Linked DNA regions of Macaca mulatta. The main gene of each other region encodes a partner of the protein of the gene in region 2 in a complex. Links are inferred from orthologs where the notes say so. Each region holds a gene or a part of one and is shown on either strand. Other genes may lie near its edges. The genes, in order: SPTSSA, SPTLC1 and ORMDL3.

What was found.
Region 1: SPTLC1 (region 2) and SPTSSA share a complex: the UniProt entries of both Homo sapiens proteins name them as parts of the serine palmitoyltransferase (SPT) complex. The link is inferred for Macaca mulatta from reciprocal best matches to the Homo sapiens genes SPTLC1 and SPTSSA.
Region 3: the proteins of SPTLC1 (region 2) and ORMDL3 are in contact, whole or in part, in a cryo-EM structure (PDB 7K0N), measured with the Homo sapiens proteins. The link is inferred for Macaca mulatta from reciprocal best matches to the Homo sapiens genes SPTLC1 and ORMDL3. Residues at the interface, in NP_006406.1 of Homo sapiens: Ala16, Leu17, Ala20, Pro21, Tyr23, His24, Leu27, Glu28, Leu31, Ile32, Trp34, Ile35, Leu38, Leu39, Ser41, Lys42, Thr43, Tyr44, Lys45, Leu46, Gln47; in NP_001307730.1 of Homo sapiens: Gly92, Val93, Gln94, Phe95, Thr96, Ala97, Lys100, Thr103, Ile104, Ile107, Tyr110, Phe111, Ser114, Tyr119, Gln121, Phe124, Thr128, Leu131, Met132, Leu139, Pro140, His143.

The regions. Positions count from the first base shown.
Region 1 is NC_133412.1:107,570,821-107,575,052, forward strand, and holds the start of SPTSSA (serine palmitoyltransferase small subunit A), read right to left. Parts: upstream 2,969-4,232; 5' UTR 2,821-2,968; coding exon 2,709-2,820; intron 1-2,708. UniProt on the Homo sapiens protein: Component of the serine palmitoyltransferase multisubunit enzyme (SPT) that catalyzes the initial and rate-limiting step in sphingolipid biosynthesis by condensing L-serine and activated acyl-CoA (most commonly palmitoyl-CoA) to form long-chain bases.
Region 2 is NC_133420.1:122,659,502-122,663,228, reverse strand, and holds part of SPTLC1 (serine palmitoyltransferase 1), read left to right. Parts: intron 1-1,856; coding exon 1,857-1,974; intron 1,975-3,727. UniProt on the Homo sapiens protein: Component of the serine palmitoyltransferase multisubunit enzyme (SPT) that catalyzes the initial and rate-limiting step in sphingolipid biosynthesis by condensing L-serine and activated acyl-CoA (most commonly palmitoyl-CoA) to form long-chain bases.
Region 3 is NC_133421.1:64,277,828-64,282,314, forward strand, and holds the start of ORMDL3 (ORM1-like protein 3), read right to left. Parts: upstream 2,849-4,487; 5' UTR 2,722-2,848; intron 2,470-2,721; exon of another isoform or gene 2,306-2,469; coding exon of another isoform or gene 2,305-2,305; intron 2,227-2,304; exon of another isoform or gene 867-2,226; intron 617-866; exon of another isoform or gene 414-616; intron 59-413; exon of another isoform or gene 8-58; intron 1-7. UniProt on the Homo sapiens protein: Plays an essential role in the homeostatic regulation of sphingolipid de novo biosynthesis by modulating the activity of the serine palmitoyltransferase (SPT) in response to ceramide levels.

The DNA.
Region 1 (4,232 bases), on a different chromosome or scaffold from region 2:
AGCCTGGGCGACAGAGACTCCATCTCAAAAAAAAAGAAAAAGAAAAAAAAAAGAAAATTAATCTGGCCAGGCATGGTGGCTCATGCCTGTAATCCCAGCATTTTGGCAGGCTGTGGCGGGCAGATCACCTGAGGTTAGGAGTTCAAGACCAGCCTGGCCAATGTGGTGAAACCCCATCTCTACTAAAAATACAAAAATTAGCCGGGCGTGGCGGCAGGCACCTGTAATCCTGGCTATTCTGAAGGCTGAGGCAGGAGAATCACTTGAACCTGGGAGGCGGAGGTTGCAGTGCGCTGAGATCGTGCCATTGCACTCCAGCCTGGGCAACAAGAGCAAAACTCCATCACACACACACACACACACACACACAGAGAGACAGACAGAGAGAGAGAGAGAGAGAGAGAGAGAGAGAGAGAGAGAGAGAGAGAGAGAGAAGAAATCAATCTAAAGTCTTACTCTGTTCAGGACTTCTAACTCAGACAGACACCAATTTTCAGACCGGCAGAGGCAAATTTCTCTAAATTTTAGGTTTCTAGGATTGATGATTAAGTTGAATGTAATGTTTAAGCTGTAGAAAGTATGCCTCTTTCCTTTAACATCATGTAGCTGGCCACAAATAGTTCTGGGTGAAGCTTACTAATCGTTAATGGATTTATGAAATTCAAAGTACTTGACAGTAAGCCTCCTGACAAGTTGGGGGAAAAAAAATCCAGCTTTCTTATTCAGTTCTTCCGTCAAGCTAAAACGAGGATTCAATCTCAAATTGATGTTCCAAACTACCAGATAGTTTTAAATGATTCTAGAAGTTGAAGTGGAAAAATATAAATATAACAGCTGATAGTAATTCAAGACTGGCTTATGTCAAATAATTGCATTTCTAACCCCAATAACATGAAATTTGAAATAAGACTTTTTTTAATCTCAAGTTTAAAATCATAAGGTTCTATAATACTGGATGTCAGTTGGTTGCAGGTGTCACCTATTTGAAAAAAAAATTTGAAACTACTTGGTTGCTAAACCAATGGTAACTCAAAACCATTAAAGGCAAATATCTACTAAGGCACTGAATTTCATTTCATAATTTATTTCTCCATACCCCAAAAAAGCCATCACCTAGTTCTTTATAGGATACTATCACTATTGCAACATAACAGAAAAATCTTAACATCATTGATAACTGTAGCATTTTAGTGTGTAAAATCTATATTAGATTTTAGGTGTAAAAGCTTTTAGGTGTAAAATCTATACTATATTCTAATAGTGCACTCTACATTCAATCTCTGATTTAAAGAGCTTCAATGTAACCCAGCATTGTTTAATTTTAGGATGTGTTATGTGAGTCAAGATACGCTTGCTTCTACAGAGAGACTTCTATTAAATATACATTTAAGTATGTATTTTACAAGGCATGGCCCTGTGAGCCCTAAAGAGTGAGACTAAAGTGCAGCTACAAATAAATGGTGCAGGAAATCAAAGCAAACTATCTTCAGTGTCTAAATCCAAAATATGCATTCTGGTTCTTAAATTCCTAATAAATAAACTGCTTTGAAAGCATCTCAAATTCTTCAAAAGTGCTGAAACAAAAGACTCAGCTTTGAGTACAACCTTAAGCTATTTCAAAACAAACACACTTGATAAGGCTTGGAATGAAATTACCTCAGTCACTCACTGGAATGCAACAATGCATTCGCAAAGTTGTTCTGAAGTAAGCTACTCCAACTAAACCACACTGAAAAGGAGAGAACGTGGATAAACTAAACATGTTTTGCGAAATATCTGTTTCGTATTGGCCTGAGTTTGTAAAAAGTTGCATCTCATTCATTATCAGTATTCAATCTGCAAGAATATCATCAAAGGATGTCAATATGGACAAGTAGAGACAAGAAACATCAGACTTTCAGGGAGCCTATCTTCACAATCCTGAGTTATTAATTGAAGTTCTCAAAGTTAGATGAGTTAAGATACAGAAAATGTGCTTTGCACAAATGCTTTGCTTATAGTAACCACTCAACAGTCATTAATAATTTACTAACTATCCACCACAACAGTTTCAAACCCTACCGACAACTAACCGCAAATTGCACCACTTTTCAGGCCGACTTCTACGGACGGTGCAAAGAAGCAATATACTTTTAAAACTCCCCACCTTGAAGACCAAAAAGATACAATAACTTAAACTGCTGTCAAAAACTACTGGAGTGTCATGCCTACAAATTCAGAATCTGGCTTAAAAGCTGGTTAACTGGTTAGAATTCTTGGTAGACCCAAAGCCAACTACATCAGGAACACTTAAAGGTCAACGGCGTCCAAGCCGGGAGCGATGTACTCCACTGTTACATGATCCCCGCCTCCTACAGGAACAGGGGACTGAACCAAAGGCAGGCGCGGCCGAAGTGCAGGCGACACACTGGGTTACACATCACCCTCGGAGATTTTCTCCAGGAATCAAGACGCTTCCTCCTTGGGTCCAGCGACTCACGGGTGACTCCGGATCTCAAGAGTTCTCGCCTCCCCCACCTCCCACTTAACCCCGCAAGCCCGGCCCTAGGCCCCCAGACCTCCCCCTGCCCCCCGACTCCTCGGCTTCCGCGCACAGGACCCGCGGGGCCGCCGCTCCAACCTCCACCCCAGGCCCCGGGCCTGGGAGCTGCGGCCCCGCGGCCCGCGCCCCCAACACGGCCCCCGCGCCCGCGACCCGGACAGGATACTGAACACCGTCCGCTCCCAGGGCTCCAGCATGTAGAGCGCCGTGACCAGCAGGTACTGGTAGTAGAACCAGGACATCTGCTTCCAGGCCCGCGCCAGCGCCATCCCCGCCATGCGCCTCCCGCGATGCAGCTCACACGTAAGTCTGTCCGGCCGGCCGCCCGCTCACGTCCTAAAGCCCCCGGCAGCCAGGCCCGCCCGCCCGCCACCCAGCGCCCATTGGCCCGCCCGGCCCCGCCGTCACCCGCGGCACGCCCAGCCCGGCGCGCGCCCAGGCCGCCGTCCCCGAGCCCCGCCCGACCCGCGCTCATTGGCCAGGCCGCTACCTCGCGTCCCGTCGTCCCCTCCCGCTTCCCTGCCCGGGCATCGCCCACGCGAGCCGGAGAACGGTCCCCGCGAGAGCGCCCGGCCGCGCCCCGCCCCGCCTGGGCCGGCCGGTGGTGGGCGGGGCGTCAGTGCCGGCCGGGGGCCCCCAGCCCAGCGGGCGCCGGGTCCATCCAGACTGGCCCAGAGCGGTTGCGGAATAAATATTTCTGGAACACTTGTTATGCCTCAGGCATCCTTCTGAGGAGGGGGATTGCCAGGGAGAACCGAAATGCCTTCGGTTCCTTACCTCGTGCAGCTGGCGGCCTAGCTGGGAGACAGGCATTAATCAAGTCGTGATCGGTGTAAGAGGAGAATAAGGGACTGAGAGAGGGTGAGGAGGTGAACGCCATCTAATAAGGAGGTCTGGAAAGGCGTCCCTGTAGAAGGGATGCACATTCGGCCTCCTTCCTCCCTTCCCCCGCCCATGCACACACACAAAAACACACCCATCTAGACAGGCATAACCCATGCACTCCCTAACCCAAAGACCACTTACCAAAAGTATCTATCTGCCCACCTCTTAGTGGCTGTAGTTAACCACCAAGTGGGTCAAGGCCAGAAGCGCGCTGATCTAGTGGGTTCTGCAGATGACAGGCAGTTTGAGATTGGTGTGAGGGCTGGAGATACCTCCTAGAAATGCACTCCTGGATGCCCGGATTTTCCCACTGCCAAATGGGTCAGCAACATTGCACTGGCCACCAGGAGCTCCATACACTGGTGTAGCATGTGAAATGCCACAATTAAATGGTCTGCTGTTTAAATGTTAAAAGTCTTCCAGGTTAAACAGCCTATTGCTTAAACTTTAAAAGTTTCACGGTTAATAACTATTTATTTAAAAGTATCAAGTGCCGGCCAAGCGCAGTGGCTCATGACTGTAATCCAAGCACTTTGGGAGGCTGAGGCTGGCGGATCTCTTGAGTACAGGAGGTCGAGACCAGCCTGAGCAACATGGTGAAACTCCATCTCTACAAAAAAAAAAAAAAAGTTAGCCAGGGGTAGTGGCCTGCACCTGTAGTCCCAGCTACTCACGAGGTTGAGGCGGGAGGATTGTTCGAGCACAGGAGGTCGAGGTTGCAGTGAGCCAGGATGGCACCACTGCACTCCATCTTAGGTGACAGAGCAAAAGAAAGGAAGGAAAGAAAGGAAAGAGAGAGAGAGAG
Region 2 (3,727 bases):
TGCCTCAGCCTCCTGAGTAGCTGGGATTACAGGCGCCCACCACCACACCTGGCTAATTTTTGTATTTTTAGTAGAGACAGGGTTTTACCATGTTGGCCAGGCTGGTCTCGAACTCCTGACCTCTGGTGATCCACCTGCCTCAGCCTCCCAAAGGGCTGAGATTACAGTCATGAGCCACCACACCTGGCTGAAAGCAATTTTTTAATACTCTGAGAATATATGACCTTAAAAAAAAAAAAAGATACTTCATGTATGTGTTTAACATGGTCAGAATTTACACAGGAAATGGGTTTTGAAAGTGTATTGCTTAGTTTCTACATTAGTAAAGAACTAACCTAGGAGGTTCCCTCACATTCCACATCCTCAAGATTCCATGATTCAGACCTGTAGGCTGCTTTATTGAGAGATCTAGCATGATGTATTATATTTAAGGGAAGGAGATGCTAATTAATAATGTTCCAAGGGTGATTGGAAGGCCAGGTCAGATGAGTTTCCAGAATTCACATTATTGTAACATGCAGTAGTCATTCTGTAAAGGTTTGTCGAGTCCTAAACTGGGAAGATTCAGTTGTGCTACCTAGTGCTTTTTGTTGTTATTTCATTCTGAGGGAAAAACAAATCATTTTAGGTGAAACAAACTAAATGAAAGGATCTAAAATGTTTAGCCCAGTTTCAAATAGACATGTATCACATTTGTGTCCTAGGAGGTAGGTCAAAACTCAAATAATATTTGTTATCATAGGATAAAATAGACTTTAAGTGAACCTGACTGGATATTAATAATGTGGCATAGCATCTCCTGACAGCTATAATACAAATACAGGATTTAATTTAATTTAATTTAAAAATACAGGATTTGGCCCCTAAAGATCTGTCTTTGAGAAGCTACAGATTTTTGTGCTGTTAATCCTAAGTGAAAACAAAATAATTTTAATCCAAGTAAAATCTAAAACATAACATGCAAATAAGGACATTTTTCTATCTAAACATATTGCTATTAGTCAAAATATAATGTATGTTTGGTTTTTGTTGGGGTTTTTTTTTTTTTTTTTTTTTTTGAGACAGGGTTTTACTCTGTCACCCAAGCTGGAGTATAATGGCACAATCTCAGCTCACTGCAACCTTGACCTCCTGAGTTCAAGCGATCCTCCCACCTGAGCTTCCCAAGTAGCTGGGACTACAGGTGCAAGCCACTACACCTGGCCCATTTTTGTATTTTCGTTTTTGTTTTGTTTGTAGAGATGGGGCATAATGTTGTTAATGTTAGAAATCATCCCTGTAATTAATGAGAAACAAAATAAAAACTAAAGACATAGATAATAAGGAAGCATAACATAAACTGTAGTGAGTAGCTTGTGAAGGATCCAGACAGGATGAAAAATAGCAAATGATGGAGCAGAGCCTTCCCTAAAGTGGGTGATGAAGAAGGCCCCAGCAGCAGGCAGTGCTGGAGCTGGGCCCCAGCATGTGCAGCCAGCACAGGGAAGAACAAACATCAGGGGCGAGGGAGCCCATGGCAAGGGAATGACAGACCAAGCTGGGGCCCAGAGGGCCTATAAGGAGGGGCGCCCAGGCGGGAGTACGGTGCACAGACTCCCTGTTGGGAGGCTGGGGCCATGAGACCCAGTCCTGCACTCAGGAAGCCACATCACAGGCAAACTTTTTTAGAGGAGGAAGCACCGCCAGGGTGCCTCGCTTCGCTTTCTTTGTTGGAATTGGAATAATGCTTCCCGTCAGTCGCAAGCTTCTGTACATTCACTGTGCCTTGACATTGTGGACTTCTAACATTATTTCTCCGTGAGTGATCTTGGAGCCTGGAAGGAACTTATGGCTGTGTGTGTGTTTCCTTTCTTCAGGATTTCTGGATTAAAAGTGGTGGGGGAGTCCCTTTCTCCAGCCTTTCACCTGCAACTGGAAGAGAGCACTGGGTCTCGCGAGCAAGATGTCAGACTGCTTCAGGAAATTGTAGATCAAGTAAGTATCCATTTACTTGAGGAAATCCCCCCACACCACTTCTGCCCTTGCCCCAAGCAATTTTTTAATGTTATTTTTTAAGAAAAGTCTGTTGACCTGAGAGAAGAGAGTAGAAAGGAAGATGCTGGTGACCCACTCTGGACATGGAATCTTAATCCTCCAGGTCCTTCCTAGCTTCTGGCCATGGTAACGGGCAGCAGGCCCTCCCATTGGGTCAGTATGTGGCTCCCTCCAAAGTTATTCTGTTTTGTACCACTTTGCATTTAAATATACTTGGCCTCTCCTCTGAAAAATTAGCCTTGCAGAAAACTCACTTGCTCACCGTTTTACAAAGCCAGGCTTTCCTATGTGTAGTTGGGGGAGGCATTGTGTGTGGGCATCGCACACATTCCTGGACTGCTGACTGTCCCCACAGCACAGCTCAGGGACAGTCCACTCGCAGTCACCCTGAAGTTAGGATGCTCTTGTATCTTCCAAAAGTTATTTCACTACTAATTGTCTAAGAAACACATCACCAGGGAAACCACTTGCCCATTTTCATCTGGCAGCACTGCCCCTCCAGAGTGCTTCCTGCCCTGGGCACACGGGTTTACAGTGGTGCAGGGACAACAGAAGTTTCTTTAAAAGGGGGAGGAAGAACAGCGGAGTAACCTAAGCAGGAAGGACTCAGGAGGGGCAGTGGAATGCCACCCACCCTGCTCCCCTCTTCCAAGTCCTGGGATGCTGGACATCTGCTTTCAGAAGGATCTGGACTTTTATGTGGGCTGCTGCTGCTGCTGCTTTTAGAAAAGTCTGACATATACCTAGTATGTATTTGAGAATGCAAATGGGCATGATTCTGCTTCCCTGTCCAGAGGCTGTAGCTATGAGCGATGCTACCAGGTTTCTGGGGTCATAATGGCAGTTACCACCTATCATGTGCCTTTCTGAGGCCAGGCCCTGTCCTAAGCCTCATCTGCCTATACAGCTTCTCAGGCAGGCTCTTCTAGGCCACGTGGCTGTGCAGTATACAGACCGGGCGTGCGGGCAGCCTCTGCTGCCTACCTGGCTTCAGCTGTCCTGTGTCCCAAATGTTTGAGCCACATAATCTGGAATAACAGATTTGTGGAGAACTTCATAAAATTTGTGGCCTTCTAGAGTCAGTTACATTAACAAAAACATAAAACAAGCCCCAGGATCTGAGCTTCTAAAGAAACGTGTCAGATTATGAATGATCAGGCTGGAGCTGCTTATCTTGTGAGGTGAGGAAATGCAGCTGCTGTCCCCTCAGGAATACCTCTGTGGACATGAAGACTCTCTCGACAGGGAAAACATCCCACTGCCTGCTTTACTACCTCATTGTTTGTGACGTTCCTTAAATACATACAAACACAAAACTAAGCATGACGTGTTTGTGATTAGAGTTCTCATACAAATGGAAAACCAAAACAAATGTATAAATTAAATACATACTAAATGGACAAGCCAGTAAAATTCCCATTCATTTCGTTACCTTCATGAGGCAGGTGAATTTGTTGTTTTCAATAGACTTGCCCCAGCGGGACAGCTGAGAGCTGTGTTCGCAGAGCAGGCTCATGAGCTGCACACGCCAGTGTTGGGTCTGAGTGATGGCTCCGCCGTTCTCACTGAGTCTCTTCTCGAACTGCATCGGGACAGTTGTCCACACATGCTTCATGATGAGGGACAGTCGCCTCCTTCAGATGCCAGTGTATTCATTGCATAGTAAATCCACCTGTGTTCTCTTTTCATTAGA
Region 3 (4,487 bases), on a different chromosome or scaffold from region 2:
CACTCACCTCCTCTAATTTTTTCAATTCTGGATCTCCCCAAACCCCAACTTAGGAGGACTGATCAGGTACAAAGAGGGAAGTGGGGAGGGAGGAAGATAGAAGAAAACAACAGACTAGCGACAACCTTTGCCCGGACCTGGAAGGCACCCCTCCTGGGTGACACAAAATAACCCATCTGGATGTCTTCTCCATTTGGCAGCCACTCAGGCCAACCCTTGTGCTGCCACCCACTCCGCTGCCAAACCACCAGGGTCCTTTTCCCCACAAGAGAGGCGAGGATAGAGAATGTGGCCAACACCTATAACTCCCACAGAGCGCTGGAACCCACATCAACATATGTCTCCCAAGGGCACAGACTCGAACCTGTGGTCTTCCTCCTGGCCCCGTTCTTCTCTGTCCTGCCCATCCTCACCTCAGCCTCCCCTCTCAGCACCTGTTTCCAGGTGTACATTAGCACCATGCCTTCCCCTGCCCAGCACCAACGGTGGGAGTCCTGCAGCAGGAGGAGCCAGGAGGTGGCCGCAACCCACAGTGAGCAGAGGGAAGTAGAGAAGGAAGGGGTGGAATGATCTGCCCCTTGTCCAGAGCTTGGCTGTCCCCAGATCCCTGAGGGCCCTGTGACCAGGAGAAAGCGGAGACGGACGGCACCTGTGTACTGGCTCACCTCCCTATCTGAGGTAGGGTCCTGCTTGCTAAAGACCATAAGATCATCACCATGTTAACAGCCCCATCTTTCCTGGGAATGCAGAGAAGACTCCCAGATAGAGATATTCTAGAAGTACCCGGAAGGCCACCTGCCTCACGCCCCTGCAGCAACCCCCTCAGACCCACATGCTATCTACTTCTGACTAGGAACTAGCCAAACCTGCACAGGAGCCTGAATCCTCAGGGGCCAGTTCTTTACTTCCAGGATAAGAGGAGCAAGTTTCCTCTTCTCAGACAGCTCCAAGCTTAGAGACCTCAGGGCAAACGTGACCCACAACACACCATCCCAACAAGCAAACACCTGTGCGCCAGCCTGGGGCGCACTCTGATTGCAGTGATGCTCCTGGGACCCATCAGTGCAGCCCATGAGGCTGGATAATGGAGCCTAACAGAAATCCTAGCATCTAGAAAGCCAGAGCTGGCTCCCACTGTTTATCTTCCCAGGGCCTTGGGGCTTCAGCTACTCTAGCAGCCCCTGGGACAGCTACTACGCAAAAGCCTCCACCTGAGACGAGAGGGTGGCATGTGGCTGAGAAGTGAGGGCTCTGAAGGACTTACCTCTAAGGAGAGGGAAACAGCGTCCCAAGTCTGACCTGAAACCGCCACCCCATCACCTCTCTGTAACCCGCACCTACAGAGGTGCTGGTGTAGAAAGCCCACTAACCCTTCCTAGTAGTTGTCCAAGAGTGCCAAAAGCCTCGTGGAATCCCAGACCACAGGACCCCATACCCCTTTCTGGCTTTCACAGGGCAGCCAACAAAACTCGATGAGCCTAGGAAAAGACTAGACCTAGGTCCCAGCCGACACCCCCGAAAGCTTCTTCCTGAAGCCTAAACACTAGGTACCCTGAGAGCAGGAAACCACCAGACACCCCTGAAAAAGAAGAGATCAATAAACTAACAAAAAGACTGGCAGCCAGGAAACACTCTTGAGACTTTCGTGTGACTACGGGCACATATCACTTCCATTAGTAAACCAACCAACCGACCCCTCCCCTAGATGGGGAGAAACAGAGAGAAGAGGCTGGCACAGGTCGACTAGGTCTACAGGAGCTGAGCTAAAAACTTCTGCTGCCACAGCTGGCAGGTGGCTGCTTAGTGCCGGGCCCTGATGTGGTTTCATAACCTGCCTCAAACCAGAGCCTGCAGCAACTCTGTTCTGTTAACCACTTTTTTGCTGGTAGCTCTTTCCCCCTTCTTCCCTCCCCACCCGCTTGGCTCCACGCACAAATATTCGGGCCCAGCCAGTATGCCAGACACTCAAGCCAAGGCTGAGCACCACCAGGGCAGCCACCAGGTGAGCCCTTCCCATTCCCTCCCCCAGGAAAGAGCAGCCCTCACAACAGCAAACCCCCTGTCTTGGAAGAGGAGCACAAAACATCCGGGCCTGGATGGGGACCCCAAAGGGGAGTCCGCGGGAGCACGTCACGATGCCACTTCCATTCCGCCCACCCCCCAAGCTGCAGGACCACAGCTGATCACATCTCAACTTTGGCCCAGCCACCCCGACTGGGGGAGGGCGGTGGGAGCGGAAAGCGAGTGCCCAGGCGAACCCGCAGTAAGCAGAGGAGAGGAGGAGCGAAGAGGCGGAGTCCTCACTGTTGTTGGGGTTTTCTGAGTGAGACCTCGGGCGCGGGGCCGGGGGGAGGGGTCCCGCTCTGTTGCCCAGTCTGGGTCCTGGCACTCGGAACCCGGCCAGGTCCGGGACCCCACAGCCATCTCCACGCGTTCACCCAGCCCTGGAAGCAGCCAAACGTTTATCCCAGAAGCCCAGCCGCTCCCCGCCTCCCACCCCTAGCCGAGGCGCTCCTCCCGACGTTCCACCCCCAGCCTCCAGCTCGCACTTTATTCCTTGGCCACCTCCCCAGCCGCAGCACCCCCTCGGCTGATGCACTCCCTCCACCCCCCACTCCCTCTGCCCCCGTCTATCCAGCCCGGGGCGCCTCCCCAGCAGCTCCTACCTTCCCTCCCGCCCCTCCCCTAGCCCTGGGGCCTCCTGGTTCCGTCTGGGCTCACCGTGCGGGGCCGGATATCGAGGGCCCGGGAACGGTTCCCGGGAGCGGGGTCCGCTGCTGCTCCAGCAGCTGTAACAACCCGCGGCGGCAGCCTCCCCGCTGGCAGCTCCGGCCGAATCAGCGCTCCGCGCCGGCCCCCGCGACGTCACCGCCCCGCGCCGGCACGCCCGACGCCTCCTGGGAGTTGTAGTTTCCTCTGCTGGTTCCTGGCCGGCCCGCCCGACGCTCCTGGGAGTTGTAGTTTTTCCTGGGCTCCGTTCCCGGACTCTCCGGGGACGCGCTGTTGGAAGTTGCACCGTGACGTGGTCAGATCGGATGATAGAATTTTGGTGCGTAACAATTCCAACTTTTGCTCCTGTGCCCTTCAAGTGTATTTTATCTGTGCCCCAGTTTTGCAGATGAGGAGACTCGGACTTGTAAGTAACTTGCTGTAGGTCTTTGCTGGGTCCCAGACTGGATCGAAACCCAGATATTCTGACCCCAAGTACAGGGTTTTTCCACTGCACCTGGCTGCCTCCGCCCCGGCCCCAGATTGGCTCCTCCAGAAACAGACTAGCCTGGCCCTTTGCCCTGCTGGGCCCTCCTGGGAGCGAGTTTTTCACAACATTGGCTGGGGTGAGGGTCTGGAGGGCCCAGAACGGAGCCTGCCTTCTCCTTCTCAGTCACTCTTGGCCCAGGCTGCCGCGGACCGGGCCACTTCCTTGGCCTCCCTGCACCTGACGTGAGAAGAAGCCACGTATCATAGATTCCTTGATCAGTAGTAAGGAGCCTGAGTTTCTGTCTCAGGTCAGCTTTTGTGGCTTTGAATGAGAGGTTCTGGTCTACAGTTTTCACATCTGCATCGTCTAAAGGCAAGGGCACAGACTTTACTGCCTGGTAGACATAGGGCAGGCCCTCCTTTATTGGCAATGTGACCTTGGGCAAATTACTTGTCTTAATCTCCAATTCCACACCTGTGAAACCCCACCTCCAATGTTGTGGGAACCCAAAAAAATGTATGTAAAGCACCTGTTGCATTGTATGAATCTACTTAATATTACTTTAGGAGGTTGCTCTTGAGGTCTCCTCGGTGACTCCCATTCTCCATGTCACCAAGAGGCCTTGTCTGAGTAGTTTCAACTCCCTACCCAGCTTCTTTCTAAGTCCACTCTGTGCAGGGCAGGGCTGGAATATCAAGATCAGATGATGTCATGGCATGCCAACCTGACTCTGAATGGCAGTTCATGGCACCCTGAACTGAAAGTGAGGGAACATGAAGGAAAAGGCTAGCCCAGGGAAACTGGGGAGCACTTCACTCGGACTCCACCTACCCTTCCTTCCCCAGGGAGCTGCCAGGAAACAGTTGTCACACAGCTGGAGTGGGACCCCCAGAGACACTTGGTGGTCACCAGGCAGGTGGGTATTTGAACCACCCAGAGCAGAACAGGCAGCTTCTTGAATATTTCCAGGGCCAATGGCCCCAAAAGGGCTCATCCCAAGATCGAAATAATCACCCGAGTCTGAAATAGCTCTGCCTGTGTCCTATGGAAGTTTCTCCTGGTTTGTGGAGGTGCCTTTCCTTATAGGCATCTTTCTGCAGACATAAGCAAACCCAGTGTTGTTCTTTTCACAGAAACCTCCCCCGCATTAAGGCAAGAAAGGTGCCTGTTTTTTCCGAAGTGAGCCTGCTTGACTCCTTTGATTTTTCTCTGGGATTCTTCATCCTCCATCAAGTTAATCGAGCCCTCTGGGTCTTGGTCAGTTTCCTGACATCTCTATGAAGTTCAG